Canis lupus familiaris: one gene and its partners. The protein of the gene in region 4 interacts with the protein of the main gene of each other region in a biochemical or structural test. Links are inferred from orthologs where the notes say so. Each region holds a gene or a part of one and is shown on either strand. Other genes may lie near its edges.

What was found.
Region 1: of the proteins of CDK1 (region 4) and EZH2, one has a biochemical effect on the other in vitro, tested with the Homo sapiens proteins (5 studies listed by BioGRID). The link is inferred for Canis lupus familiaris from reciprocal best matches to the Homo sapiens genes CDK1 and EZH2.
Region 2: of the proteins of CDK1 (region 4) and H1-0, one has a biochemical effect on the other in vitro, tested with the Homo sapiens proteins (3 studies listed by BioGRID). The link is inferred for Canis lupus familiaris from reciprocal best matches to the Homo sapiens genes CDK1 and H1-0.
Region 3: of the proteins of CDK1 (region 4) and PRC1, one has a biochemical effect on the other in vitro, tested with the Homo sapiens proteins (2 studies listed by BioGRID). The link is inferred for Canis lupus familiaris from reciprocal best matches to the Homo sapiens genes CDK1 and PRC1.
Region 5: of the proteins of CDK1 (region 4) and RPA1, one has a biochemical effect on the other in vitro, tested with the Homo sapiens proteins (2 studies listed by BioGRID). The link is inferred for Canis lupus familiaris from reciprocal best matches to the Homo sapiens genes CDK1 and RPA1.
Region 6: of the proteins of CDK1 (region 4) and USP16, one has a biochemical effect on the other in vitro, tested with the Homo sapiens proteins (3 studies listed by BioGRID). The link is inferred for Canis lupus familiaris from reciprocal best matches to the Homo sapiens genes CDK1 and USP16.
Region 7: of the proteins of CDK1 (region 4) and SP1, one has a biochemical effect on the other in vitro, tested with the Homo sapiens proteins (2 studies listed by BioGRID). The link is inferred for Canis lupus familiaris from reciprocal best matches to the Homo sapiens genes CDK1 and SP1.

What each region holds. Positions count from the first base shown.
Region 1 is NC_049237.1:1,579,880-1,583,970, forward strand, and holds the start of EZH2 (histone-lysine N-methyltransferase EZH2), read left to right. Parts: upstream 1-1,284; 5' UTR 1,285-1,339; intron 1,340-4,091. UniProt on the Homo sapiens protein: Polycomb group (PcG) protein. Catalytic subunit of the PRC2/EED-EZH2 complex, which methylates 'Lys-9' (H3K9me) and 'Lys-27' (H3K27me) of histone H3, leading to transcriptional repression of the affected target gene.
Region 2 is NC_049231.1:27,827,447-27,831,609, reverse strand, and holds H1-0 (histone H1.0), read left to right. Parts: upstream 1-1,453; 5' UTR 1,454-1,737; coding exon 1,738-2,322; 3' UTR 2,323-3,663; downstream 3,664-4,163. Other genes in the region: GCAT (2-amino-3-ketobutyrate coenzyme A ligase, mitochondrial), read left to right, coding at 4,109-4,163. UniProt on the Homo sapiens protein: Histones H1 are necessary for the condensation of nucleosome chains into higher-order structures. The histones H1.0 are found in cells that are in terminal stages of differentiation or that have low rates of cell division.
Region 3 is NC_049224.1:53,738,541-53,742,734, reverse strand, and holds the start of PRC1 (protein regulator of cytokinesis 1), read right to left. Parts: upstream 2,804-4,194; 5' UTR 2,792-2,803; coding exon 2,733-2,791; exon of another isoform or gene 2,465-2,732; intron 2,201-2,464; exon of another isoform or gene 2,074-2,200; coding exon of another isoform or gene 2,063-2,073; intron 1,232-2,062; exon of another isoform or gene 1,217-1,231; coding exon of another isoform or gene 1,194-1,216; intron 1-1,193. UniProt on the Homo sapiens protein: Key regulator of cytokinesis that cross-links antiparrallel microtubules at an average distance of 35 nM. Essential for controlling the spatiotemporal formation of the midzone and successful cytokinesis.
Region 4 is NC_049225.1:13,554,703-13,558,732, forward strand, and holds the start of CDK1 (cyclin-dependent kinase 1), read left to right. Parts: upstream 1-1,193; 5' UTR 1,194-1,278; exon of another isoform or gene 1,279-1,403; intron 1,404-1,780; exon of another isoform or gene 1,781-2,423; intron 2,424-3,077; 5' UTR 3,078-3,103; coding exon 3,104-3,140; intron 3,141-4,030. UniProt on the Homo sapiens protein: Plays a key role in the control of the eukaryotic cell cycle by modulating the centrosome cycle as well as mitotic onset; promotes G2-M transition via association with multiple interphase cyclins.
Region 5 is NC_049230.1:45,977,574-45,981,404, forward strand, and holds the end of RPA1 (replication protein A 70 kDa DNA-binding subunit), read left to right. Parts: intron 1-777; coding exon 778-864; intron 865-2,307; coding exon 2,308-2,412; 3' UTR 2,413-3,325; downstream 3,326-3,831. UniProt on the Homo sapiens protein: As part of the heterotrimeric replication protein A complex (RPA/RP-A), binds and stabilizes single-stranded DNA intermediates that form during DNA replication or upon DNA stress.
Region 6 is NC_049252.1:24,578,252-24,581,791, forward strand, and holds part of USP16 (ubiquitin carboxyl-terminal hydrolase 16), read left to right. Parts: intron 1-1,543; coding exon 1,544-1,647; intron 1,648-2,477; coding exon 2,478-2,581; intron 2,582-3,448; coding exon 3,449-3,540. UniProt on the Homo sapiens protein: Specifically deubiquitinates 'Lys-120' of histone H2A (H2AK119Ub), a specific tag for epigenetic transcriptional repression, thereby acting as a coactivator.
Region 7 is NC_049248.1:44,843,638-44,847,021, forward strand, and holds part of SP1 (transcription factor Sp1), read left to right. Parts: intron 1-869; coding exon 870-1,069; intron 1,070-1,512; coding exon 1,513-1,826; 3' UTR 1,827-3,384. UniProt on the Homo sapiens protein: Transcription factor that can activate or repress transcription in response to physiological and pathological stimuli.

The DNA of each region.
Region 1 (4,091 bases), on a different chromosome or scaffold from region 4:
CATATAATATATAATATTATGTTAATATATTAAATTTACTATTAACATAATATTATATTAATATATGATAATATATTACAATATTATAATACTAAATATACATATATAAAAGAAACACGGTGTCCTTAGGGTTTTAGACTCAACAGTTCGTAGGTGACCCGGGGTCTGACTCTCAGCATGGAACCCCAGTTCGCATGAGTGATGTTCGCATCCTACCACTGCACAGTTGCATCCTATAACTAACTATATAACTGCGTCCTGCTAAATAAATTCGGCCCAATCTTGACTTCCTCGACAGACGAGAGCCAAAGGGGGAGGAGACTGTGCCCTAAAACCCGACACGTCCCCGATTCCTCCCGGTGCGACAAGGTTTTCCTCCAAGATCACCTAATGATCATCGAAAAGGGTTTTCGTTTTCCAGAAGCATTAGCAGGAGGCGAGGGAACCACAGCGGTCCTTGAGCAAGGATTCTCTTTCATCTTCCCTGCACGCCGACACGCGCGCTGCCAGGGTCCGGGCTCGGCGTCTGCCCCGGGCCCAGGTGCGGGGCGCCCCTGCAGCCCGGGTCTCTAACCCGGTGCGCCGCCCCCGCCCCCGCCCCCGGCCCCACCCCGGCCCCGGCCCCGGCCCCGCGCTCCCCGCCCGGCCCGGCCCGGCGCGCGGGGAAAAGAGCGCGGCAGTTGCAACCGTTACCACCCCCGAGTTTTGAACTGGTTCAAACTTGGCTTTCGGCCCCGCCCCGCCTCTCGGGCCCGGGAACTCCGAGGCGGCGGTTCCCGCCAAGCGCCGCGAGCGCGCCGTCCCGCCCTCCGGCCGGTTCCCGCCACCCCGCCCTCCCCGCCCGGGCCCGGCGCTGCGCAGGCCCCCGCGTCCCCGCCCGCCCGCCCGCCCGCCTTCCCGCCTTCCCGCCTTCCCGCGAGGCGCCGTGCGTTCCGCCAAAGAACAAAGAAACGGCGCGGCGCTTCCACTCGGCGGCCGCGTCCCTCAGCGCCCGCCCGCGCCCGCGCCCGCGCCCGCGCGCACGCGCCGCCCGCCCGGCCCGGCCGAGTCCCGCGGGCGCCTCTGCGTGGGGCTGGCGCGGCGCCTCCGAGCCCGGCGGGCCCTGTGATTGGACGGGAGCCCGCCGCGGCCCGCCAATCGGGGCGGCGCTTAGTTGGACAGGGGGGGCCAAATAAAAGCGCTGGCGATTGGGCTGCCGGGTTTGGCGCTCGGTCCGGGAGCGCCCGACACCCGCTGGGACGCAGAAGGCGGTGGGGCCCCGGCGGCGGCGGCGGCGGCGGCGGGAGCGGCGGGAGCGGGAGCGGGAGCGGGAGCGGCGCGGGCTGGGCGCGGGGCGCAGGTAACGCGCCGCTGTCGGGCCGGCCGGCGGCGGGGCCCTGGAGCCCGGCGGGGGGCGGCGGCGGCGCCGGGACATCCCCAACGCCGCGCTGCCCGTGCGGGTGTCGCCCCGAGCGGGGTGTCGCGGGCGCCGGCGCGGCGGGCGGGGGGCGCGGGGATGCCGCGGGGCGGGGGCGGGAGCGGGGGCGGGGCGGGGGCCGGGCGGGGGCCGCGGGCGCCCGAGGCGGGGGGCGGGGGCGGGGGGGGCGTGCGGAGGGGTCGTCCGCGGGCGCCGGGCTGGCTGGGCTGGGGGCGCCCGCCGTCCGCCGTCCGGGCGCGCGGGCTCCTTTGTGTGGAGCGCCGCGGCGGGGCGCCCGGGCGGGACGGGGCGCGGGGCGCACACAAGTTGGTGGGACCGCGCCGCCGGGCGCGCACGCAGACAAAGGGCGGCCGGCGTCTCGGGGCAGCCCCGCGGGCCTGACAGCGGGCGGGGGCGGCGCGGGGAGCCCGGCGGCGGGCGCTCGGCCCCTCGCCTCTCGCCCCGCGCCCCCTCCCGCGCCCCGCGCCCCCTCCCCGCGCCCCGCGCCCCGCGCCCCCTCCCCGCGCGCGGGCCCGGCGAGCGGAGCCGGGGCTGGGGCGGCCGCGCGGACGAGGCGGTGCCGGGCCGCCCTTCTCCTAAGTTTGCGGGCAGGGCAGGGCCGGGCAGGGCCGGGCAGGGCCGGGCCGTCCGCCCCGTCTCGGCTTCCTGGGCCTGCGGGGTCCCCTCTCGCCCTCCCTCCCCTCCCCCGTCTCCTCGTCCCCACGGAGTCCGTGCCGCGGGGTCCCTTTCGGGAAACGGGACGAGCCGAGGAGCGTGCTCTTTTCGGAAAACTTGGGTGAACTCGGCGCGTCTCGGGGAGTTCCCACTTTGCAAAGAATCGCCGTCCCCAAGAGAGAAAAGCAGCCGCGGGCCGCCCTGGCCAACCGGTGGGGTGCGTCGGAGGGGGCGGCAGGTGCCGAGGAAACCCGCTGCCCCGCAGGCGGCCGGCCCCAGGCCCCGCGGCGGGACGGCGGCGAGCACCCTGCGGGCGGGCGGAGGGGCGGGCGGGCGCGGGACCGACGCGCGTCTGGAGGCTGACGAGCTCCTTCCCACGGACGGGTCTTAACTTCCCCCGAACAATAGGTTTGGGGAGGCAGGAAAGCCTGGACGCAGACAGCGTGTGTCGCCTAAGAAACCCAACGTGTGCTGCCCGCAGTCAAGCTAAACTTCCTTTGTTTGCAGCACAGGACCCGTAAAACTTAAAAGATCCGTGTGGAAATAACAACCCGGCTCTGGAATTGAAAAGTATTCCACACGGTTTGCTTTCTTGGTTCCGGAGCTCAGCGGTTGCATTCTTTGGCGTTTGAAAATTACCTAAAGCAACCTTTGGGGAAGAAGAAGAAAAAAAAAATCTTAAAAAAAAAAAAAAGTCCAGTGCTCGTACGGTTGAATTATGATCTGTACTTCTCTGGGGCTTTGGAGGTGGTTTTTCATCACTCTTCTTTCCGTGAGCATTAGCAACTCTTTTTCATATTTAGGAATAAAGTGGACAGGTGTTCAGAGCCTGACCACTTTATTGATGATCTTATATGCAGGAAGACGAAAATGGTTGAGATGTATCTTGATGTTCTTTTCGTAGGGTCTAAGTTGGGGCTAGATGGGATTCTAGTCCTATGTGTAAAGATTCCTGTATGTGTTTTTGTAGACCGATCAGGATACGGGATGTTTAAACTCTTGGAAACTTAGGAAAATTGCATCTTCCTTTCTGATTTTTGTGGAAACCGAACATATTCAAAGAAAAGGAATTTAGAGACCCACAGGCACTCTTCTTTATTTGCGTTCTGATAAAGAGCTAATGTGCACCTACTGTCTTCTGGTTGCATAAAAATGGAGACAAAAGAAACGCAGTGTGAAAGTCTTTATTACGAATATTTTGCAGAGACTGTTGGACACCGTTGAACGGACGTCCCAGGTGCTGCCTCAGGGTTGAGATGCTTAAATGATGTTTAGATTTAGTTGCTGATAATTATCTATTAAAAAGTCCTGATAGTTCTTGCCCACTGTTAGGAGATGAGTTATGCAGATCTTGGCAGAAATTTGGATCTTTTAGGATAAATTCTAGTTTTTCCCTTGTGTATTCTGTAATTGATAATTACTGTCCTTATACGTGCCACAAAAATTTTTTAAAAAGCCTTTTTGGGGCTTTGGCTTAGATTTTTTTTTTTTTTCTGGTTGAATTGTGAGTATATACAAGTCACTTTTAAGTAGCAGTGATTAAAAAAAAACACTTGTTGATTTAGGGCAAAATAAAAGTTCTGAGACATTTATGATAGACATAAAGAGAGAGAGACAGAGACAGAGAGGCAGAGACACAGGAGGAGGGAGAAGCAGGCTCCATGCTGGGAGCCTGACGACAGACTGGATCTGGGGACTCCAGGACCGAGCCCTGGGCCAAAGGCAGGCGCTAAACCGCTGAGCCACCCAGGGATCCCCAGTTCTGAGACTTTTATGCCAGCTTTGGCTATTTAAAAATTTTAAGCAGATTTCTCCAAGTCCTAGTGACGTTTTTCTAGATTATCTGCCATCCCTTGAGCTGGCATGCTCAAGGAGTGTGAATTTCTGTATTGGCCTAAATAGTGATTAAGAAAGTTGATCTGCTTCTTAGAAACTGACAAATGAAGTTCTTCTAGCGTCTAATGTATTCTAAGGTCAATTAGAAATGATACACGGATTTGCCTTGGATTCTTTATGTCCC
Region 2 (4,163 bases), on a different chromosome or scaffold from region 4:
CGTGATTAGGATGTGTGTCACAGACAAGGGGTCCCCGGAACTCTGGGGTCCCCTCTGCTGGCCTCTGGCCCCTAAAGTCCCTCGGAGCCGCCTCAAGATTCCCTTCAGAGGGTGACGCCCCTTGTCCCGCATCTATACCTGCCCAGCAGCCTGGCAAAGATGTATACATTTTAACAAAGACATCCCATCCTCCCAGCAAAATGGCGGTGGTCCCGGCCACGGCTCTCTGAGCAACTGCACACTTTCAGAGGATTAGTCAGGACCCCAGGAGCGAGACCCCCCCCCCCAGCGCCGTTTCCCCAAGTTCCCAAAGCACCAGGGCCTCTTTTCATCCCAAGGGCCCCCAGGACAAGTCTGGTTGGAGCCTTTGGGACAGCTCCTGCATTGCAGCCCGCCCCCCCCCACTGCCTTCAAGGGACCTTGGGAGGGGGACTTGCCCCCCAGGCCGTGCCTCGGGGGTGGGGGCAGCAAGGTTCTGCCTCGGAGACCCCGAAACTCCTAGGCTGAAAGAGGCATATAAATGCATTCCCGATTAGGATATGCGGGCGATGTGGGGCTCTTTGAGAGGAGAGGACTCCGGAGACCCGCCCTCACTCCCTGGGGGGTCCCAGGCAGTGCCGGGGGTTCGGCCCCGGGAGAGAACCCCCACGCAGGGGTCGGGGGGCAGGCTGGGGGAGAGCCTGCCGAGGAGGGGGAAGGGACGAAGTTTGAAAGTGCCCTTCCAACTCTTCCAGGGAAAGTTTGCTCAGGGGCCCCAAGGACAGAGAAGAGGCAGGGGTGCGAGGGGCCCGGTGGTGGGGTGAGCCCCCCGAGAGGTGACCGGACCCCGGGGGAGCGACCCCTCCCCCCTGTCCCGGCTCGGCCCGGCTGGGAGTCGCCCAGCTCGGGGCAGCGTGTGTTAGTTGGGGCCGCTTTCCAGCCGCTCCGCCGGGCTGGGGGGTCCCGCCGCGGGCCGGAAGCGGGGTCCCCGGTAGCCCCAGGGGGGAGCTTTGCTACGAGGGGTTTCCCGCACCGGGGCTCCCCGGCCCCGCAGAGCCAGCCCCCCGCAAAGGGGAAATGTGCAGGCGCACCAGCGGTCCTCGGCGCCGTTTGGGGCGCGTGGCGGGCGCGGGGGGCGGCGGCCGGGCCGGCGGGATGCCCGGCGGGGGAGCCCAGGGAGCCAGGCAGCGGTCCCGCGCGGCGGCGGGGAGCGGGAGGGCCCGGGCCGGGGGGAAAGGTCGGATTTGCTGGGCGGAAGAAACACAGATGGCGGCGGCGCGGCGCCATTCCGGGCCGGGAGCAGGCAGCCAGCAGCCCTGTCCTCACCGCGGTCCGCCCGCCGCCGCTAAATACCCGGATGCGCCGCCCGAGCGCCAGACGCGGAGCTGGGAATAGGGAGGCAGAGGAGGCGGAGGCGGAGGCAGAGGCAGAGGCAGAGCCCGATCCCGAGCCCGATCCCGAGCCCGAGTCCGAGCCCGAGCCGGAGCCCGAGCCCGAGCCCGAGCCCGAGCCCGAGCCCGAGCCGGGCGCCGAGACCGACCGACAGAGCGGCGGGGCTGGGCCGCACAGACCCGGCCCGGCGAGTCCTCCCGCGAGTCCTCCCGCGCCCCGAGGCAGGTCCCCGAGAGCCGGGCCCGGACCGGCCCGGGAGTCAGGAGGAGCGCCAGAGCAGATCCCGAGTAAGGCTTTCCTCGGCCTCCGACGAGGGCTGGCCCTTTGGAAGGCGCCTCCTTCGACAGCAGGACCAGACAGGCCACCATGACCGAGAACTCTACGTCCACGCCTGCGGCCAAGCCCAAGCGGGCCAAGGCCTCCAAGAAGTCCACAGACCACCCCAAGTATTCAGACATGATCGTGGCTGCCATCCAGGCAGAGAAGAACCGTGCTGGCTCCTCGCGCCAGTCCATCCAGAAGTACATCAAGAGCCACTACAAGGTGGGTGAGAACGCCGACTCGCAGATCAAGTTGTCCATCAAGCGCCTGGTCACCACTGGGGTCCTCAAGCAGACCAAAGGGGTGGGTGCCTCGGGGTCCTTCCGGCTGGCCAAAAGCGACGAGCCCAAGAGGTCAGTGGCCTTCAAGAAGACGAAGAAAGAAGTCAAGAAGGTGGCCACGCCAAAGAAGGCAGCCAAGCCCAAGAAGGCTGCCTCCAAAGCCCCAAGCAAGAAGCCCAAAGCCACCCCAGTCAAGAAGGCCAAGAAGAAGCCAGCTGCCACGCCCAAGAAAACCAAAAAACCCAAAACTGTCAAGGCCAAGCCGGTCAAGGCATCCAAGCCTAAGAAGGCCAAACCAGTGAAGCCCAAAGCCAAGTCCAGTGCCAAGAGGACCGGCAAGAAGAAGTGACAATGAGGCTTTTCTTGTGGACACTCCTGCCTGTCTCCTATTTTCTGTAAATACTTTTTCTCATTTCTTCTCTCTTGATCTTCATTTGCCCCTTTGTATTCTGACTTCCTAAGAGACAGAATCTGGATTCCTCAGAAATTAGGGAATAATTCATTTCTCCTTAACCAATCATGCAAGGACAGCAGCCACAACTCTCATCCCTAAGGATGAGAATGTACTTCTATTTTGTTTTGTTGACTTGTTATTAATCTACTTAATGGGTTTAGGGACTTGGGTGGGCTTGTGTTTTGTTTGGTTGATTTGTTCACTATGAAGGTAAAGGGGCGGGAGAGAATGGGCAAGGCCGCTTGTTGGGACGAGATGAGGGGGACCCCGGAAATGGTAAGGTTTGCAGGAGTACTTTAAGGTCAGCCAGCCTAATCTAGGTGGCACACCCCTGAGAGTTCCAGAACCTTGGTGGGGAGAGGGGAGGAGTGGTAGCAGCTGGATGGCAAAGGAGGGAAGTGGGGGGGGAAAAAAAAAAAAAACCCTGGGGGGGGGGGCGGCTGACTTCCACCTTCCAATAGTGAGCAGTGGGGGGTCCAAATCCAGTTTCCTTCTCACTGTGAGTGTGCCCCTGTGGCCTCCCTATTGTCCTGGGGAAGAGAAGGAGGGGATCGAAGTGACAGCTGGTCCCAGAAGCTGTGGCTTCTCTCAGTAAGCTGGAAACTAGCCATTGGGGGGTCTTTGTGGCTTCAGAAAGTCTCCTGTTAAACTGGAGTGGAAATTTTGGGGGAAGGGTGGGGACTCAGCCAAGTGCCTCAGTGTGCCCTGTTAAAACTTGGGTTTTTCCACACAATTGGATTGTATCCTAGGAGGACTTTTTCCTTTTCCCCTGGTTTTTTGGTTCCTCCTGTAGAAGAAAGAGGTGATTTTGCTTGGTGGCCTGGTGGGGCACCAGACCTGCCACCTGCCACTTAAAAACCTCCCAACCTCTTTACTTTTGCGTCTTTTATAAAAGTAGTTGTAGATGAGGGAGGGGGGAGTGGGCGGGAAGTGGACGGTAAGACATACTACAGTTGATTTTGAATTGCTAAGTAGTTTCACAGAGCTAGGTCTGTGTGTCTGTGTGTATATGTATATATACCTATCTAGGGCTAGTACTTTCGTCTCACACCCGGGAGCTGGGAGAAAAAAACCTGTACAGTCGTCTTTTATTTTTAATAATATAGGAAAATGCGCACTTGCGCGTGGTCCGCCCCCCACCCCCCTTTTTTTTAAACAAGTGTTATTTGTGCCGGGAAGAATTTGCTGTCTTTGTAATTTTAAAACTTTAAAATAAAATAGAAAAAAAAAGCGAAACCCTGAGCGGTGCCTTTTTTCCTCACTTTTATGGCCGGAGGCGAATGCGGAGCAATCGGGCCGGCGAGCTAGGGTGGAATCCGGGCGGCGTGTGCACCTGAGAGTGGAGCCGGCTCCAAGAGTGGGACGGGCACCAGGAAACGGCGCTGAAGGGTGCAGAGCGTGCCTCAGCCTGCTTCTAGGGTCTCGCCTTGGGGTCCCGGCTGCACCTCCTTAGCCCGCGAGCGCCGGGTGCGTAGGCTGGGGCTGGGAAGAGGGCGGGGGGCTGGTGGGCGGGGCCGCCTCCCCTTCCCCCACGGGGAGTCGCCGCGCGCCCATCAATCCCCTTTCGGACTCCGCCCCCGCGCCCCGATTGGCTGCCGCGGCCCGGCCTCCGGGCCCTGACCGAGCGGCGGCGGCGGCAAGGCCGCGGGCAGTGCGGGCGCGCTCGGGCGGAGCGGGCACCATGTGGGCCGGACGCGTGCTCCGCGCTGCTCCCTCCGCGGCCCCCCGCGGCCGCC
Region 3 (4,194 bases), on a different chromosome or scaffold from region 4:
CTGAAAACTACTGGAGAACTAGAAGATTTATTAATTCCAAACACCCATCTTCCAACTGGCCCATTAAGATTTGTTCAAGTAACAGAATCCAAGGGGTGGTTAACCTTTTCATTTTAACAACTATCTGCAGAGTGCTTTTAGTTAGTGGCCCACCTATCCACTGGAGGTTAGTGGTCCATTTGCTGTACAGATAATTGGTTTTTGGTTTTTTTTTTTTTTTTTTTTTTTTTTAAAGATTTTATTTATTTATTCATGATAGTCACAGAGAGAGAGAGAGAGGCAGAGACACAGGCAGAGGGAGAAGCAGGCTCCATGCACCGGGAGCCCGACGTGGGACTCGATCCCGGGTCTCCAGGATCGCGCCCTGGGCCAAAGGCAGGCGCCAAACCGCTGCGCCACCCAGGGATCCCTGGTTTTTGGTTTTAATTGGACCCGAGATCTACAAATCTCATGTCATTTAATTCTGTAAAAAGTAATTTGGCTAATTTTTTTTAAGTTTGTATTTTAATTTATTCATAAGAGACACAGAGAGGGAGAGAGAGAGTGAGAGAGAGGAGAAACAAGAGATTGGCAGAGGGAGAAGCAGGCTTCCTGCAAGGAGTCTGTTGTATCCCTTGATCCCAGGACCCAGGTACCACAGGTGCTCCTAATTTAGCTAACTTAATTAGTAAACATATCTAAGTTTTTCAATTAAGTCACAAACCAAAACAAACTGCAGATTATGTGCTTTTTTTTTTTTTTTTTTTTAATAGAAATAACAGCAGCTACTAGGCAGCCCTGGTGGCTCAGCGGTTTAGCGCTGCCTTCAGCCCAGGGTGTGATCCTGGGGACCCCGAACGAATCCCGCGTGGGGTTCCCTACGTGGAGCCTGCTTCTCCTTCTGCCTGTGTCTCTGCCTCTCTGTGTCTTTCATGAATAAACAAAATTTTAAAAATAAATAAATTACAGCAGTTACTGACATTAATTTTAAAACCCTGGCTGTTGGGCCACCTGAGTGGCTCAGTGGTTGAGCATCTGCCTTTGGCTCAGGTCGTGATCCTGGAGATCCGGGATCGAGTCCCGCATGGAGCTCCCTGCATGGAGCCTGCTTCTCCCTCGGCCTGTCTCTGTCCCTCTCTCTGCGTCTCTCATGAATAAATTAATAAAACCTTTAAAAACAAAACAAAAAACCCTGGCTGTTTTTACAATGGTACCATGATTTGTACTCATTTTCCATTCTCTGGAAGGCAAGCCACCTGAAAAAGAACGATGAGAATTCGAAATTAGGGAAGCAGCAGCAGCTTCTACAGCCACAGAATGATCAGCCTGACCAGTAACTACCAACCAGTAATGAATCATCTCAGTGCCTCACCCACCGCTTTCAGAAAGTAGGGCTAACGTCTTCACCACTCTCCACACAAAAGCCCTATACCCTTGGTATTATTATTTTAGAAAAGTGACATCTCTGTCCTTTTGGAGTTTGCACACTAATAACAACAAAAAAAGTGACAAATAAGCAAACCTTCCAGTAAAGGGCAGTAAGTGCTACGGAGGGAAAAACGGAGCAGAGACCGGTGAAGAGACAGCGGACATTCGGCGTGGCGAGTGACTCCTCAGTGGAGTTTCTGGACTCCCAAGGGAACCCGGCTCCCTGTCCAAGTCGGGGACGTTGGCGCGGCAGCCCACCCCGCGGAGGACACGCGGATCAACGACCTGACGGCGTTATTTAAAGAGAGGCGAGGGAGCGGCCCACCAAGAGCGGCTGCGCCGGTGCCGAGCCGAGAGGCAGCATCTGAGAGGGAGGCAGGCGGGCGGGCGGGCGGGGCTCGCGGACACTTGGAGCGTCGGGGCCTCCCGGGCGTCGGGGTGTGGGGGGCCCCCGCCGGGCCCGGGGCACTGCAGGCCTTGCCCTGCCGCGTCGGGGCCCCTCGCACCTGCGCCAGCTCAGCGCCACCCAGCCCCGCCGGCCGCGCCCCGGCTGCACTCGACGCCCGTTCACGTACGCCCCCGCGCCCCGGGGCCGCCTCGGGGCCCCCCGCTCCCGGGCCAGGCGTCGCTCCCTCGACCCTCCTGCAACCCGCACCTCCTCCTCATGGCGGACGCTCCCAGCAGCCGACCGTCGAGGCCCCAGACCTCCTCCACGCGGAGCTGAGCGCAGCAACCTCGCACACGCACCACAGTCCCGCTCCAAGCCGGGGCTCCGAGCCGTTAGCCCTCCGCGGAATTTCAAATCGAGCCCGAAGGCGGGAGCAGCCCAGCGATTGGCGCCAAGACCCGTCGCTCCTCGCCAAGCCCCGCCCCCTGGCGGCCGCCGGCGCGCGCTGCGTCCTGACGCGCGGGGACTCTGAGCTGCGGTTCCCGCGGTGGGCGTGGGAAGCGATGGCTCTCCCGCTGACGGCGGAGGTCGCTGTCTGCGCATGCGCCGGGTGGAGCCGGCCCGGAGGGACGCCCCGCCCCGCCCCGCCCCGCCCCGCCGGGGATCCTGCCCAATGCCCACCCCACCCCGTCCGGCGCAGTTAGGTTTCGAAGTTCGCGCAGCCCCCTGAGGCCGCCGGGAAGGGGTGGGGACAGCGGCCGCCCTGCGGCAGGAGCTGGCGTTGCGGGAAAGCCTGGCGCTTAGGTCGCTTCCCACGCCCAGTTAGGTGGCCAGCCTGGAGCTGGTATTTGGGAGCTCTCCCCAGGTGCGGGAAGCCGTGCGCTCGAGGGCAGGGGAAGGAACGCCGCACCCTGCTCCCCTCTCCCGGGCCGGGCACCTTTCTAGACCTCCATCCCGTTTACTCTCCACAGCAGCCGCGTTCTGTAGTATCGCCATTCTTACGTAGGAAGAGATCCGTCTCTGGAAGTCTTGAGGGACTTGCCCAGGTCACATGATTGGTACACAAAAGAAGATATGCTTGCCATAGTTCTTTCGGTGAAAACTTTAAAATTCAAAATGGACATCAAAACGATAGAGGTTTATTAAGCAGATAATAGCACTTCAGAGAAAACTCTCAAAAGTGAGAGAGAGGGGTCCCAACAGGGTATCCTTTTTTCCCTGAACATATGCTCCATCCCTAAATGTTTATATAAAACTTTGTATTCAGTGATTCACAATTGCATGATATTGATGTAGGAACAAGTTAGGAGCAGACAGGGCTAGGTAGGAAAAGATAAGGGAAAGGTCTAGAGTCAGGCTTCCAGGAATCTGTGGGTTCCCATAAACCCCAAGGACACCAAAAGGCCCCAGAGGCTCCTACCCATCCGAAGGAAACAGGTAAGACCGTAAAAAAACCAAAAAATCCTGGCTCCCTAGTTCCAAAATGTTAGGGGGTGTTCCCCTTTAATGGCTACTAGGCTCACAGAAACCCCAGATGTAGAGAAATATGGAGGAGCTCTTAACCAGAGAGAAGGGAACACTTGTTTGTGCTTATGATGTTTACAAAGAAACATCTTGTTGTTACAAGTCCACCATGTTTGTTCTAAATAAAGACATGATATATACAAGTCCACCCTGATATGGATAAGAAATTTACCAAGTTCCTGGTCAGTTCCCTATAAAAGACAGACCATAGGGACACCCGCGTGGCTTAGTGGTTGCACCTCTGCCTTTGGCTCAAGGTGTGATCCCGGAGTCCCAGGATCGAGTTCCGCATGGGGCTCCCCGCATGGAGCCTGCTTCTGCTCCCTCTTCTTATGTCTCTGCCTTTCTCTGTGTGTCTCTTGTGAATAAATAAAATCTTAAAAAAACAAAAACAAAACAAAACATAAAAGCCCTTAGTGGCAACCCTGTCAGGACCCCTCTCACTTTTGAGAGTTTTCTATCTTGCTTAATAAACCTCTATGGCTTTGCTCCCTCTGTTGTCCTGGAGATTCGTTCAACTCCATAAGAACCAAGCTCTCCCGTATCATTTTGGTGCCAAAACCTGGGACCTCCCATCAAAGGGTGAGTAAATGTGGACTCTATCCTTTATTTTCTGGAAGATGTCTCTCCTTCGGGTAACCTTTTGTAACAAACAGCAGAACCGGGCACCTGTCAGGCAGTTAAAGGCGAATAGTGCGGCTGTTGGTCTTAAGACTCAGGTGACAGGCTTTTGGAGAAAAATTTAGTCAATCCCCCTTCCCTAAAGAAAGAGAATGTTGGCCTAACCCTAACCAATTCCACTTTCCGTTTTTTGACCTCTGAATTGGCTTTTCCCCTGACTCAGGGGTTTTGCTTCTGATAGGGCTATGCTTGCA
Region 4 (4,030 bases):
TGAACTGACAGAGAACAGTCATCTTCCCTAGAGTACTTCTCTGGGGTAGTCAATTTTCATTTAAAATGTGAACTTGGGTGTTGAAAAGTAAGTTTTACAAGTTCTTAGGTTCAGGCAGAGATTTCACAACCACCTACCTCCAATGTGAACCCCAAGTGCTCTGTCACCTAGGAGCACAAAATTGTTAAGACCATGTGTTGGTACCACAAATGGTGCCAGATGACAGATGCTTCTCACTGTGTAAAAAAGGTACTAAACACTTACATGCATGTGATATACTAGCTCATTGTTTATCCTAATCTGGGTCTTTTTTTTTTTTTTTTTTGGTATATGGAACAGTTCAAGAATTTGTGCGTCATCTTTGCGCAGGGACCAACTTAATCTGTTTTGTTCCAATTTTAGCACATTGCTGTCCAAGCCAGCACCTAATCTGGCTCTTCTGACAGGTCTTTGTAGCGTTCATGGTAATCCATCCTTGTTCTACATTCCATTAAGAGCAGCCCTTATTAGGTGACTCTTATTGCCAGTTCTATTTTATTTTTTAAAGACTGAAAGAATGATGTTCAAGTGCAAACATCTCTCTTAAGGTTATTGTGGAGGGCAGTGAGAGAGAGAGAGAGAGAGAGAGAGTTTTTGATACTTAGTTATTTAAAGTATAATTTAGGTCTCCCCCCCCCCCAAAGACTTGTGAATTTTTGTGTTCTAAAAAACTAAAATTCTGTTGTGAAAATATTTAAAAATCTAAAAATGTAAAATTTTGTCTTTCATTTTTAAATACATGGAATTTTAAGTAAATGGAAACTTTAAAATTCTGAAAATAAAGTAAAAACAAAGCATATATGCGTGTGTGAAATGGATTCCTTTGGCCCAGCCGGAAAATCACCCACTTAGAAAAACACCATTTACGGTAGCTTTAAGTATTAGAAGTGAAAGTGATGGAATCTGAATGTCAAGGTAGCATCGCTTTTGTGATGAGAGAGCTGAGTGCAGTACGTTTTAATTGTGCCAATACTGAACAGGGAAGAACCCGACCCAGGGCCAACAGTAGATTTCCGACGACCAGAAGCAGTAGGACGACGCTCCCCAGCGATGAAAGAAAGCGCCTGCGCTGGGACTCAGTTGGCGCCCGCCCTCCTGCTTTTTCGCCAGCCGCCGTTTCCACCCTCTTTCGCGCTTCGGCCTCCCGGGAAGCCCAGCCCCGAGCGTCGCTGAGCTCCGATTGGCTCCTTTGAAAGTCTACGGGCTGCCTGATTGGCGGGCCCCCGGCCCTTTAGCGCGGTGAGTTTGAAACAGCTCGCGCTCCGCTTCAAAGCTGGCTCTGGGAAGTTGAGGCGAGAGCGACGCGGACGTGGAGGCGGCCGCTGCTTTCGCCGCGGGACAGTAAGGCGGGCGGCCTCGCTGAGGTCAGGGTCGTTCCTGCGGGGCGTCTGCGCCGCGGGGCCCGGCTCGGAGGCCGCGGCTGGTGGTGGGAGGCCGCGGGGGGCCGCGCGGGGCCGGGCCGGGCCGGGCCGGGCCTCCGGATCCTAGGCCGCGCCCTCGCTGGGGCCCCGGGGCCCGGCCCTCCGGGGAGGCTGGCGGGAGCCCCGACGCGGCGGGCGCGCTCCCGGGCGGGTGAGGCCGCCGGCCGGCTGAGGAGGCCGTCGGGGCGTGGCGCCGGCCGGACGACGCCGATTGCCGGGCTCCGGCCTGGGCCCCGCGCGCGCCGCCCTGCTCCCTGGCGTGGCCGGCCAGACCCCACCTGGGCCAGGTGCCCGCGTGGGAGCGCCGGCGGGCCCCGCTGGCCTGTGGGCCTCCCCGGGGTTCCCTGCGCCCGCGGCCCTGGCGCGCCCGGAGCTGTGGAGAGACCCGGCCAAGGACAGAACCAGAGGAGGAGGAAGCTCGGGGTGGCCCCTTGACTCTAAGCTGTTGTATGTGCTGTGCCATCGGCCCACAGGGAAGGCTCAGAAACGCCTCGAGAAAGCACATACGCGTGTGCTCAGTATTCCTGATCGGTCTTTGTTTAACACTAGAGCTCCCCATGTGCACGCCTGCTTGCTTGCTTCAAAGACCTGGAGGCCTCTGGGTAGGAGACGAAGCTGTGGTGTCGCGGTGCCGGGCCCCAGGGGCAGGGCCTCCAGAGGCTTTGTGAAGCCGCGTCCTCTCTGTGAGATTGTCACAGCAGCGACACGGAGAGCCGGCGAGGCCTAGGAAACCCAGCTTTGAAAGGCTTGCTCAGAGCGAGCTCGACAGTTGGATTGTTCGTCAGGCGTGTTAAATCTGGGCGTCGTAGAAGGGATGATTACCGTTCTGTAAAATTAAAAATGTCTAAGATGGGAACTCCTAGCCAGTGTAGTGCAACTTCGTTCATTTAAAAAGATTTTCTTGCTTCTACTTCTGGCATGATCCCGGAGACCAGTGCGAGCGTCGACTACCCAGTGACCTATGTACGTAATCTTATCAGGGATGAGTGTGTTAGAAAGTCAAGGTAATTCTACTCTGGGCTTCTGAAGTGAAGATTTCTTTGGCAAACTTCTCAGCTGAGGACGTCTTGAAGGTCTTGTCAGCCTCTCAACTGACGTTTAAGCAGTCTTGCTGATGGTGGTTGATTATTACGGCCACAGTAGCTCTATTTGTGTCATTAAAACTTTTTTCCTTTTGAATTTTCTTAGAAAAGGGGTACAAATTCAGTCAAATAACATTATTTGACTTACTTAACACAAATAACATTTGTGGAAATGGCTGGGTATAACTGGCAGAAATTGATGCTCCTTAGAAGTGTTACATAAAGAAACACACTTGTTTTTTTGTTTGGGAGGGATAGATAAGTTTGATACCTGAATTTGAGGGTTAATCTGATTGCAAGAAGCAAAGTACTACACTGGCTAAGATATACAAATCCAATGTTTTAAGAGCTAAAAAAGGTGGAAAAATCTTATTGCAAAGGTCCCTTCCCTTGTAAATGTTTTAACATAATTAGTATTTATGGGAAATTAATACTGCAGTAGACACTGGAAAATGCTTTATACTATCATTAAAAACTTAAAACCATCTTTTGAGTTAGTGGCATATGATCAAATTAATTTTTTCTCTCATTTTAGGATCCTACCGTATCTGTTGATTAACTATGGAAGATTATACCAAAATAGAGAAAATTGGAGAAGGTGAGTGGTTTTAATAATAAAAGAGTTAAAAAATGATTTGGTAATGCTCTAATATCTGGGACATGAAAACCTGTAAATATTTATTGAAATCCAATCTTTAAGGTGTCCTTCAGTGCTAATGTGCCTTGATTATATGTTCTTTACATGGTAACATATGCACAAAATGTTCAGATTTCAAGAAAATTGAAATTATTCTGATAGGATTCCCTGCCAACCCTCTCCCATCCCCCTAAAAATCTTATATTTTTTAAGTACTAAACACTTAAAGCAATATTTGTATTTTGAAAACACTATTGAGATCTTGTGTTATGTTTTGGTGGGGAGAGGTTAGGGAAGTAGAATTTTTTTTTTTTTTTTTTAAGATTTTTATTTATTTACTTGAGAGAGCACAAGCAGGGGGAGCTTCAGAGGGAGAGGGAAAAACTGGCTCCTTGCTGAATGAACAGGGAGTCCATGCGGGTCTGTATCCCAGAACTCTGGGATCAGGACCTGAGCTGAAGGCAGACGCTTAATCGACTGAGCCACCCAGATACGCCTAGGGCAGTAGAATTCTATTAAGTTTAATAGTGTACTTTTAATCATGTACAATTCTTTTTAAGTGCTTTTACCCAAACTTTCTAAACTAGTATAATAGACTATTAAACCAATTTATTTATTTATTTATTTATTTTTTAATTTTTATTTATTTATGATAGTCACACAGAGAGAGAGAGAGAGAGAGAGAGGCAGAGACATAGGCAGAGGGAGAAGCAGGCTCTATGCACCAGGAGCCCGATGTGGGATTCGATCCCTGGTCTCCAGGATCGCGCCCTGGGCCAAAGGCAGGCGCTAAACCGCTGCGCCACCCAGGGATCCCTATTAAACCAATTTAAATAAATTTTTTAATTTCC
Region 5 (3,831 bases), on a different chromosome or scaffold from region 4:
TAAAGATTTTATTTTTAAGTAATCTTACACCCCACATGGGGCTCAAACCTACAATCTCGAGATCAAGAGTTGCATGCTTGGGATGCCTAGGTGGCTCAACAGTTTAGCATCTGCCTTCAGCTCCGCATAATCTCCAGATCTGGGAATCAAGTCCTGCATCGGGCTCCCTACAAGGGGCCTGCTTCTTCCTCTGCCTGTGTCTCTGCATCTATCTCTGTGTCTCTCATGAATAAATAAAATATATATTTTTAAAAAGAAAAAGTGTTGCATGATCTGACTGAGCCAGCCAGGTGCCCCTTCAAAAGTCTTAATGGAGGGGGGCACCTTGGTGGCTTAGTGGTTGAGCATCTGCCTTTGGCTCAGGTTATGATCCCGGAGTCCGCTGGAGTCCGGGGGATCAAATCCCGCATCAGGCTCCCCACAGGGAGCCTCTTCTCCTCTGCCTATGTCTCTGCCTGTCTCTCAGAATAAATAAAAATCTTTTTATTTTTTTTAAATGTTTTATTTATTATTTAATTTTTATTTATTTGTGATAGTCACACAGAGAGAGAGAGAGGCAGAGACACAGGCAGAGGGAAAAGCAGGCTCCATGCACCGGGAACCCGACGTGGGATTCGATCCCAGGTCCCCAGGATCGCGCCCTGGGCCAAAGGCAGGCGCCAAACTGCTGCGCCACCCAGGGATCCCAATAAAAATCTTTTTAAAAAAGAATCTTAGTGGATATTTTCAAATGGTCTGGTAGCTTCCATGCCTAAAGTTCTACATTTGTTTTTGCAGAACGAGCAAGCATTTGAGGAAGTTTTCCAGAATGCCAACTTCCGATCTTTCACATTCAGGATCAGGGTGAAACTAGAGACCTACAACGTAAGTGGGGTCTGCTGGGTTGCAGAAGGGTTAGCAGTGGGAAGCTACTATTTGTCACTCACAGCAACAGTACAGTGTTAGCTGTCACTTAATTGCTTACAGTGTGCTTACCGCCCTGCATTTATTACTCATTGAATCTTCCCAGCACTGAGGAAACGAACCTAGAGAGGTCAAGTATTTTGTTTAGTGTCAAGCATCTAGAGGGAAATGCTGCATGGTTCTTCGGTTACAACCTGGGGGTTTTGTTGGTGTAGTGACAAAGAATGGTCAGATGTTTGGTGGACTCCTGTGAGGTTTAGGCCCTAGGGTTCATATACAAAACAAAGACCGAACAAAGTTAAAATAACCTTAAAACTTATTCAAGTTGCCTATAGCATCATATAATTGTATAGTCCTACAGTAACTGCATTTATTGAGCACTTACTGTCTGCCAGTTACTATTCTATGCCCTTTACATCTACTATCTCACTTGATCCTGGCAGTAACCCATATGGAGGAATGACTGTTAGCCCCATTTTACCACTGAAAACATGGAGGCATGTAGAGAATAAGTACTTTGCATATGCCAGCAAATGGCAGAACTAAGATTCCAGCCCCCAGCTTCAGAGATTTGCTCTTTTCCATTCTTAGAAATGGCACTTTGTCGTAATTACTGAGCACATATACATGACAGTGCGTGAACCCCTGAATTAGACTGTGCACTTTTTCTGGGCATCACCTCATCCTGCCTCTAAAATAAAGGCACTGTTCAGTCCTGATGAATGAGCAAAGAGGGAGAGTTCTGAAAACCTCTCTGCTTGTTTTAGGGTCTCCTCATTCTGTTTTATCATTACACTTTAACCTTAGTTCCTGCCAGGTTTGTTTGTTTCTGTAGACCTTGAATGAGGTAGTGTCAAGTCAAGTGTCTGTGCTAGAGTGTCATGTTGAGGTGGGAGCAGGGGACAGCTCGAAAGGTCATGCAGTCCTCTCATGATGTGGACAGGGAAGGTGAGGTGCAGAGGTGGTCTCCCACAGAGCTGGGATGGCACCCAGACCAAGTCTTCCTCCTCTACTTTTGTTTTCAGAATTAGCTGTGTGGCTTTTAGGCAAGTCACTTATCTTCTCTGGGCTCCTATTTCCCCCCTCTGCAAAGAAAATAAACCTGCTAAGGCCCATCCCATTTGGATTTGAGGTTTCTGAGACCTGGGAGCATGAGGGAAGGACAAAAAGGGGACTCTGCTGAATGAAGAGAGGCTTCTGTCCTCTCTCCCAGCTCCAGAAGTTCTGAACTTGGCTTTCACTCATGATTTTTTTCTGTATTGGAATTACTAAACACTAAATCCAGCATGTCTTTGTGTTTTCTCTCGCTGAGATCATTGAAACCTCTAAAGCAAAGGGGGTTAGCACCACTGCTCCATGCCACAGGCTTTCCTCCATTCACAAACTGCTTTTCTCTTCTCAAAGGATGAGTCTCGAATTAAGGCCACTGTGATGGACGTGAAGCCCGTGGACTACAGAGAATATGGTAGAAGGCTGATCATGAACATCAGGAGAAACGCACTAATGTGAGAAGACCAGAGCTGATGGGGCAGAAGTTTGAAAAAACAGAGCTGAAATGAAACCGATTCTTTCCCACTCCTGTGGGACATTTCCACGTTAGCTACACAGTGGAGCAGAGGGCCTCTCCACAGGGGACAAAGCGCTTTCCTCCCATCAGTGCAGCTTGGAGCCCACTGGTACCTGTTGACACAGGCAAAGAGAAATGTGCTCAGGCGACTGTCGGGTAAACTGTCAGACCTGGCAGGTCAGCTGGTGGATAGTGTAGTGCCATTCTCTCCCTCTGTCTTCAGGCTTTTGTCAGTTTTACTAAGATTTCATTATCTTCAATCAGAAATTATGTCACAAGTAATTGACCCTAACTTTGCAGACGGTGAAATAAATTATGTAACTAGCTTCTCCAGTGATGACACCCTTGAGACCTGGGTTCCTTCTCAGGAGGGAGAGCCCAAAATTGGTCGTGCAGAACCTGTACTTCAGTAAGTGTGTCTTTCTAGAATTCAAAGTTTCGCTCTTTCTAGAGGTGCCACATAGTTGTAAATACTTGGATGGCAATAGGGTAGAATTATTAATCAAAAAACTTATCTTTTATATCTGAAGAATATCCCTCCTTCAGGGTTTAATAGACTAAGTCAGATGGGTCTGATATTAATCAAAATTGTCTCGTCTGAGGAAGGCTGATAAGCATTGACTTGCTGTCCCACAGGGACATCCGGGCAACTACAAAGCATTGTTTTAGTTTTCGTTTCAATTAATGTTGCATTTTGGCTGGTGAATGCACATTTTTTTCTACCTGTACATATTTCTTGCATTTATATGTTTCATTTCTTGATTGAAGCTATGTTAAATAGAAGGGATTTTGAAGGAAGGAGCCCTTTGTTTCCTCTGCTTTGTTTAAATAAACAGAATGTTCTCTGTGTGTGAATCCTACTTTCTACTTTCTTTGAATGCAAAGGGTTCTTGTAACTGGGAAGCAATTAATTAGCCTTCATAATAAATGTTCACTTGGGGGAGATGTTAACTCATTACAGACTCAAAGATTAGTCCAAGTCATAGAGATCATTCATCCTAATGTTTGCAACCCTCAAATGCATCTTTAAAAGAACAAAAACACTAAAAACAAAAAGCCATTGTGACCAAGAATGCTGATGATCTGGCACTTTGGGATTTTATTGATGTTTACACAGCAGTCTAACACCAACCAGGCTTTGAAATGTGTACAGACAGTGAGCTAGTAAGAAAACAGTAATTATGCTACTAGGCTTTTAAGTCAGCAAGAGCATGCTTGCCCTGTGTGTTCCTAATCATATTAATTATCTTTCTGGTTGCTGCGACCCACCACTTGGCATTTGCTGCACATCTCTCCCCAAGCATCCAGGCAATGTTGCAGTCAGCCTGCAGTGGGAGGACCTGGTTTTTAATCCATGCAAG
Region 6 (3,540 bases), on a different chromosome or scaffold from region 4:
TTGGGGCCCCTGGGTGGCTCAGTTGGCTTAAAAAAATTGAATAATAGCAAAGATTTATTTTTTTTTAAGATTTTATTTATTTATGAGAAAGAGAGAGAGGAGGGGGGCAAAGACACAGGCAGAAGGAGAAGCAGGGTCCCTCCAAGGAGCCCGATGTGGGACTTGATCCCCACCCAGGCATTCCAAAGAACATATTTAGATTTTCACTGTCGTTCTTAACTATATATGGTGAGAATGAATACGTTTTGTTACTTTAGATTTTCCAGAATACACTTCCTATTACAAATTTTATTTTGCTATCTATCTAGTTCCTAAGGGTAAGACAGTTTCACTATTGTTCCCTTGGCACTGCTAAGCAAGTGATTCTCAACTGCTATCTTAAGACAGGTCATCTCATTCTTATGTTTCAAATGATCTCAAATGATGTTAAATTTTTTTTTTCAAAATTAATATTTATTTTAGAGTGAAATGTTGAATGGGATAAATCAGATCAGTAGTGTTGATATCACAGGTAAAGGTTAGAAGCTGTTGATAAACATTTCCCCTTTGACATATAGTTTTAGCTATCACAGAAACAGGACCGCTTCCGTAGTGCAATCCAAGGGAGTTGATGGCCTGATTCAGATAGATACATAGTGAGGGTATATTTTACAGCAGAGATTTAACCAGCAAAAGGCAGAGAATCTGGTCCTGTTCTTTTATGAATAAGCCTAAACATCTAATAAGTGAAAATCTCCCATTTATTTGTTCCATTAATGCTTACTGACCTCCTTCCACTTGGTAAATTTTTTGGTAATAGAAAGATTAATTTTGTTTTTGTGTCTTCAGGATTTATAGTCCAGGGGAGGAAGGCTATAAACAGTAACAACTTTAATATGAAGTAGAAAATAGGAATGCCACTAGGAATTTATCCCATATTTTGTAGGAGTTAGCTTACAGTAAGAATACAGTGTTTCTTCATCTCGGGGGGGATGACCAAAGGCTTGTGAGAGGTAGTGGCCTTTGAGCTAGATCCTGAAGACTGGGTGGGATTTGATAATAGGACAATATGAGAATTAACCCTGGAAAGATAGGGTGAGGTCAGATGGTATCAGGTTTGTTACTTAGAAGTTTAAAAGCAATTCATAATTTTTAAGTTGAGTGTGTGAGTGGAAATTTGTTTTAGATACCATTAAACTCAAAAAGATATGTATGTGAAGAAAGAAGTTGAAGTCAGAAAAATACTTCAGAAGCTGTTAAGTGGTTTGTGCTAGACCTAGTGAATGGCTACATTAGCATGATTTAGTTGGGACTGGAAAGGACAAGTTGGAGAGGAAGAGTACTTTGAGTGCATGGTTCCTGAATACCTTCTTTGCTAGATATTCTCAGTTGCCTATTCATGTTTAGGTTTTCATAAAATCGGGACCCTCTTTAGAGTCCACCATGTTATTTTCAAAATTGTAAGAATGACAGAATTTCTCAGGTCCCTTGCTTGTGCATTATGGATTATGAATTCTCTTGGTGAACTTTCATAGCTTCGAGGTTTATGATTATTATTCTCTAGGGCTGTGGCAGAGATTCTCAGGAGCAGCATGCCTTGAAGCACTATATGACACCAAGATCTGAACCTCATTGTCTGGTTCTCAGTTTGGACAACTGGAGTGTATGGTAAGTTTAATAACTCTTATGCCTGTCAGTTGACTGGTAAGTATTTGAAATATTGGAGAATGGAGGGGTTTAAGGAGGAAGAAGGTTTACATTTTTGTAGGATTTGTTTAAATACATCACTTTCAGAAGGCTAGAGAATTTGAGAACCTTTCAACTTAGTATTATTGTATGCACATAGAAAGTGTAGCATCTAGAAGACAGATGAGTCTTCACCCTTCTGTTTTTCTTGCTTTTGATATAAATGGCATGCGGTGCATTATAAATGGCATGTGGTGGGTTATTTTAAATGGCATGTGGTGGGTTATTTAAAAATTGGGACACTGAGAACCAATTTCAGATGAACTGAGAATATAGTAAGATTTTTGCAGTGAATTTGCATGAGAATAAATGTCAGGCTGGTACATATATTTCTTATAACATCATCAAAACACATTTTCATATCTTTAAAAAATATCTACAGAGCAGCATTCAGTGAACATCATCTGTCTATTGTAAAACGTCTTAATTTTGACGATATAGGCCTGTACTTTGAAATATGTGTAGGAAAGACTTCGACTTTCAGATTGTAAATAGCCATTTCAGTAAAGTATTTGGGGTTTTTATATGTATTTATTTATATGTAACCACAGTTCTGACTAAATTTACTATAATAGTAAACCAGAGTTAACATGGATAGTCTGTCTTCTTCAAGAAAACACAGATTTTTATTTTCAGTTTCTTTAACAGAATAATTTGGTGGCTATTCACTTTGGGTTCCAGGAATTATAATTCATCTCCTCTTTTGGTTGTCAGTTTGTCACTTTTCTTCTCTGTGGTCTTTTGGGAAACAGGTGTTACCTATGTGATGATGAGGTCCAGTATTGTAGTTCAAACAGATTGGGTCAGGTGGTTGATTATGTTAGAAAACAAGCTGGCATTACAACTCCAAAATCAGGTAAAATCATTTGTTTATGTATTCTGTAATATTAATTTATGTATCTATTTAGATAAATTTACTTACCGCTGAGCATTATATATAACTGAATAACATTAATTATAGTTGATTTCAAACTATGAAACTATTTTTGGTTAGGAATATAAAAACAATGGAACTATAGATTGTTATAATATGATATAGAAGGGAATCTGAGAAACAGTCTAGTCAAATGTGATGATGAGTCTGGAGTAAGTAATGACCAGGATGCCCTTTCTGTAGGGGGTTTGAGATGGTCCTGCCTTGTACTGAATTTGTTTTGTTACATTTGTGTTTGGATGATGTAAAAGTGAAGGCTAGCTATTTCTCAGCTTTTTTTCATGCATAATTAAGTTAATTGGATTGGCATACATCATCTGCTTTAAGCTTGTTTTGATTTTTACGGTCACAGAAGTATCTGCACAGCTGGAATTGTTTGTTTTTAACTTCAGGATTCATTTTTCACCCATTCATTTAAAAATTTATTTCAGGTCCACATTCTTTACTTGATTACTTTATACTCTAATTTCATAAAGTAGGATGTGCTCATTTGTAAAACAAATGAACAAACAAAAAACTTTTATGCAATAAAAAAGGTTTATACCAAACACACACGGTTTGGTTTCATTTGTCAAACTAATGCTTACATCACTTTTGAGTGTTTTTATTGGTTTTTCTCTTGTGATGATAATTATATCTGTTAGAAAACATTTAAAATGAAATAGCTGGGGATAATGATGTTAGATAAAAATTCACAAAGTCTAATACTCTGTCCCAACTATAACTTTGCATTTGTTATAGTTGTATTACACATTTTGCTAAGTCTTTGTTTTCTTCCCTTTTTTAAAGCAGCAAAAGATGGTAATGTTGAACTTGAAAATAAAAAATTAGAAAAGGAGAGCAAAAATGAACAAGAGCGAGAGAAAAAGGAAAACATGACT
Region 7 (3,384 bases), on a different chromosome or scaffold from region 4:
CATTAGTTGAGCGTCTGCCTTTGGCTCAGGTCATGATCCTAGGGTCCTGGGATCAAGTCCTACATCTGGCTCCCTGCTTCTCCCTCTGCCTGAGTCTCTGCCCCTCTTTGTGTCTCTCATGAATGAATAAATAAAATCTTAAGAGAAAAAAGAAAGGAAGAAAGAAGAAAAGGAAAAGAAGGGAGGGAGGGAGGAAGGAAATGCTTGTATTAAGACAAACTTTGTGAAAAATACAAGAAGCCTCACAGACTTCACAAGTCATCCGGAGAGCAATTATCTCTTCATACATCAAACATCAGAATTGATTAAGGAATAGAAAAACAGGAAATAGTAAATATCCAGTAGAGAAAAAATTTAAAACTTGAATTTGGGGTATTAAGAATCAGCATCAACTAAAGATCTATGTCTTTGTTTTATTTATTTATTTAGAGGGTACGAGCAGGGGTAGGGGAAAGGTTGAGGGAGAGAGAGAATTTCAAGCATATTCCATGCTGAGCGTAGAGCCCAGCATGGGACTCAGTCACATGACCCCAAGATCATGACCTGAGCCTATATCAAGAATCAGATGCTTAACTGACTGAGCCACCCAGGCACCCCTAAAGATTGATATTTTGGTACTAAAGAGAAGCCTGCCCTCCCTCCTTCCCTCTCTCCCTCCACCCCCAACATGGGGCTTGAACTCATGACAGCAGGATTAAGAGTTGCTTGCTCTATTGACTGAGCCCACCAGGTGCCCCAAGAGAAGTGTTTGTTTTTAAATAGAAATTTGGGTTAGTTTTGAGTGGGTCAGGTAATAAATGTTAACATTTTGGGGTTCTTTAATTCTTGTCTCTAGAATGCATTATGAATAGTTGTGTTCTTATTTTCAGAGGCTCTGGGGATCCCGGCAAAAAGAAACAGCACATTTGCCACATCCAAGGGTGTGGCAAAGTATATGGCAAGACCTCACACCTACGGGCACACTTGCGTTGGCATACAGGCGAGAGGCCATTCATGTGTACCTGGTCATACTGTGGGAAACGCTTTACACGTTCGGATGAACTACAAAGACACAAACGCACACATACAGGTGAGAAGGAGCCCCGGGAGGAAAGAAATAGTAATAGCATAAAAAGACACAAAATATATCTATGAAATAATTAAATTTCTGAGTAATTAAGTTTGAAAGTGAATATATGGAACATAAATGATTCGAATTGGAGTTTATCTGGAAAACCTTTCAGAAGGAAGGAGCTAGGTGTTCAGTGGGATTTTAAAGGAGGACCATGGCCCCATTATTCTTCTCGGTCCTACCTTACTTTTCTACTGTAGTCCTTCCTTTCTAGTACTCTTTGACCTTTACCTATTTTTCTGCCCCCACTCTCTCAAAAAGAAAAAGATACCAGATTTTTCTTGTTTTTATTACCTTCTAAGACTAATATTCTGTCCCATATAGTTTGAAAGCAGTAAATTGGACAAGGTAACCCTACTTCGTAAGATGTTCATTTCTTGTCTTCTTTCTCTTTTACCAAGGTGAGAAGAAATTTGCCTGCCCTGAGTGTCCCAAGCGCTTCATGAGGAGTGACCACCTGTCAAAGCATATCAAGACCCACCAGAATAAGAAGGGAGGCCCAGGTGTATCCCTGAGTGTGGGCACTTTGCCCCTGGACAGTGGGGCAGGTTCAGAAGGCAGCGGCACTGCTACCCCTTCAGCCCTTATTACCACCAATATGGTAGCCATGGAGGCCATCTGTCCAGAGGGTATTGCCCGTCTTGCCAACAGTGGCATCAACGTCATGCAGGTGGCAGATCTGCAGTCCATTAATATCAGTGGCAATGGCTTCTGAGATCAGGCACCCGGGGCCAGAGACATATGGGCCATACCCATCAACCCTGGGATACAAGGTAGCATGGGTCCAAGAGACATGTGGGAGAGAGAGCCATGAGGCATTAAAATGCATGGTGGTGGGAAGAATTGGGGGAGGGATACAAGAGATGGGGTCCTGGCATCCATCTATTATCATCAGTACCTCCTGAAGTGAGAAACGTTATTGAAAATTCTGTTGGTGCCACCCTTTATGAGCATTTGTTTGACCCCACACAGTTTCTTACACTTCTTTCCCCAGCTTTCCCTTCTTGCATTTCCCTTCTCAGCTCCCCCATGATGGATCCCCCCTTTCCTAAAGCCATCATGCCTTGATAAATATATATGATCATTGAAATACTTTTTAACAAAAAAAAAACCAGATTCTATATTATATATATATATATATATATATATATAAAAGATATATAGAGATGCATTTGCAGGGGTTGGCTGGGAGGAGGAAGGAGACCATTCTGTGACCAAAAATACCTTGGTCATTTTTTTATATTGCCTTATTTCCCTATGGCTGAGCCTTGTTGTGACACATCAAGCTTTTCTATAGATGTTGTCTTGGCTTCCCACCAGATTAAGCGTTCATATGCTCTGCTTTTAGTTTATATATACATACATAATGTTTTTTCTTAATTTTGTCTTTTTATTTGGGATCAGCTTCTTGTACTCTTTTCTTGACTCAACCTTTCTGTCTCCCTTTCTCTCACCTGATCACTTCATGTTTTGGTTTTGATAATGATCCCTGGATGAGGCACTTCTGTCAATCTTTTAAGGTCCTTGGTCCTAGCAGCAGAGTGGAGAGAGCCTTGAAGCCCAGGCTGATGCTTGAGTTAGCTGTGGAGAGAGTGTTCAAAATACTACTGACGCAGGCACCCTCTTGGCGCTGGAGAGTCCAAGGCACCTCTCCTCATTAGCTGCTCTAAGCATCAAGAGTCAGACGTCTTTCTATGGAATTGTACAAAAGACCCTTTAAAGGTTATATAATCTGGGATCAGTTTGTATAAATTGTCAAAAATGGTCAAGTAAAAGCTAGGGGCTTTCAATAGGAAAATGATGTGCTCAGAAGTGGAAGTGACTCAGAGTAGTCCAGTTCAGGAGTTAGTAGAGTATTTGGACATTTGTACAGCTGTCTTCCAAAGTAGCTCTGAGCTTTGGTGTATGGGTTTCTGAGGTCATATTCTGAAAGGAAATGCACTTCCTCTTTTGAACATCCCCAGTAGTTTCTTTCTCATGTTATTAAGGAACATCAGCCAATGAATCTGTTCGGGTTTCCATTCCGCAGAACTCCAGAGCATGTACTAGTGGCAAGGCAGAGGTTCTTTGACCTTTTCCCTTAACTCTTCCTTGGGTGGTTCCTGAGGGAAAAGGAAGCACACGATCATGGGAGTGATAGCCCAGAACAAAAAGAAATCTTGTCTTACCACTGTGGTTTATAAGAGAGATCGGGAGACACCATCCTGCTTTCTCCATGGCCTGATTCCTGAAGAGACTGATCCAAAAATTATAGCGGCAGGGAACTCTTAGTG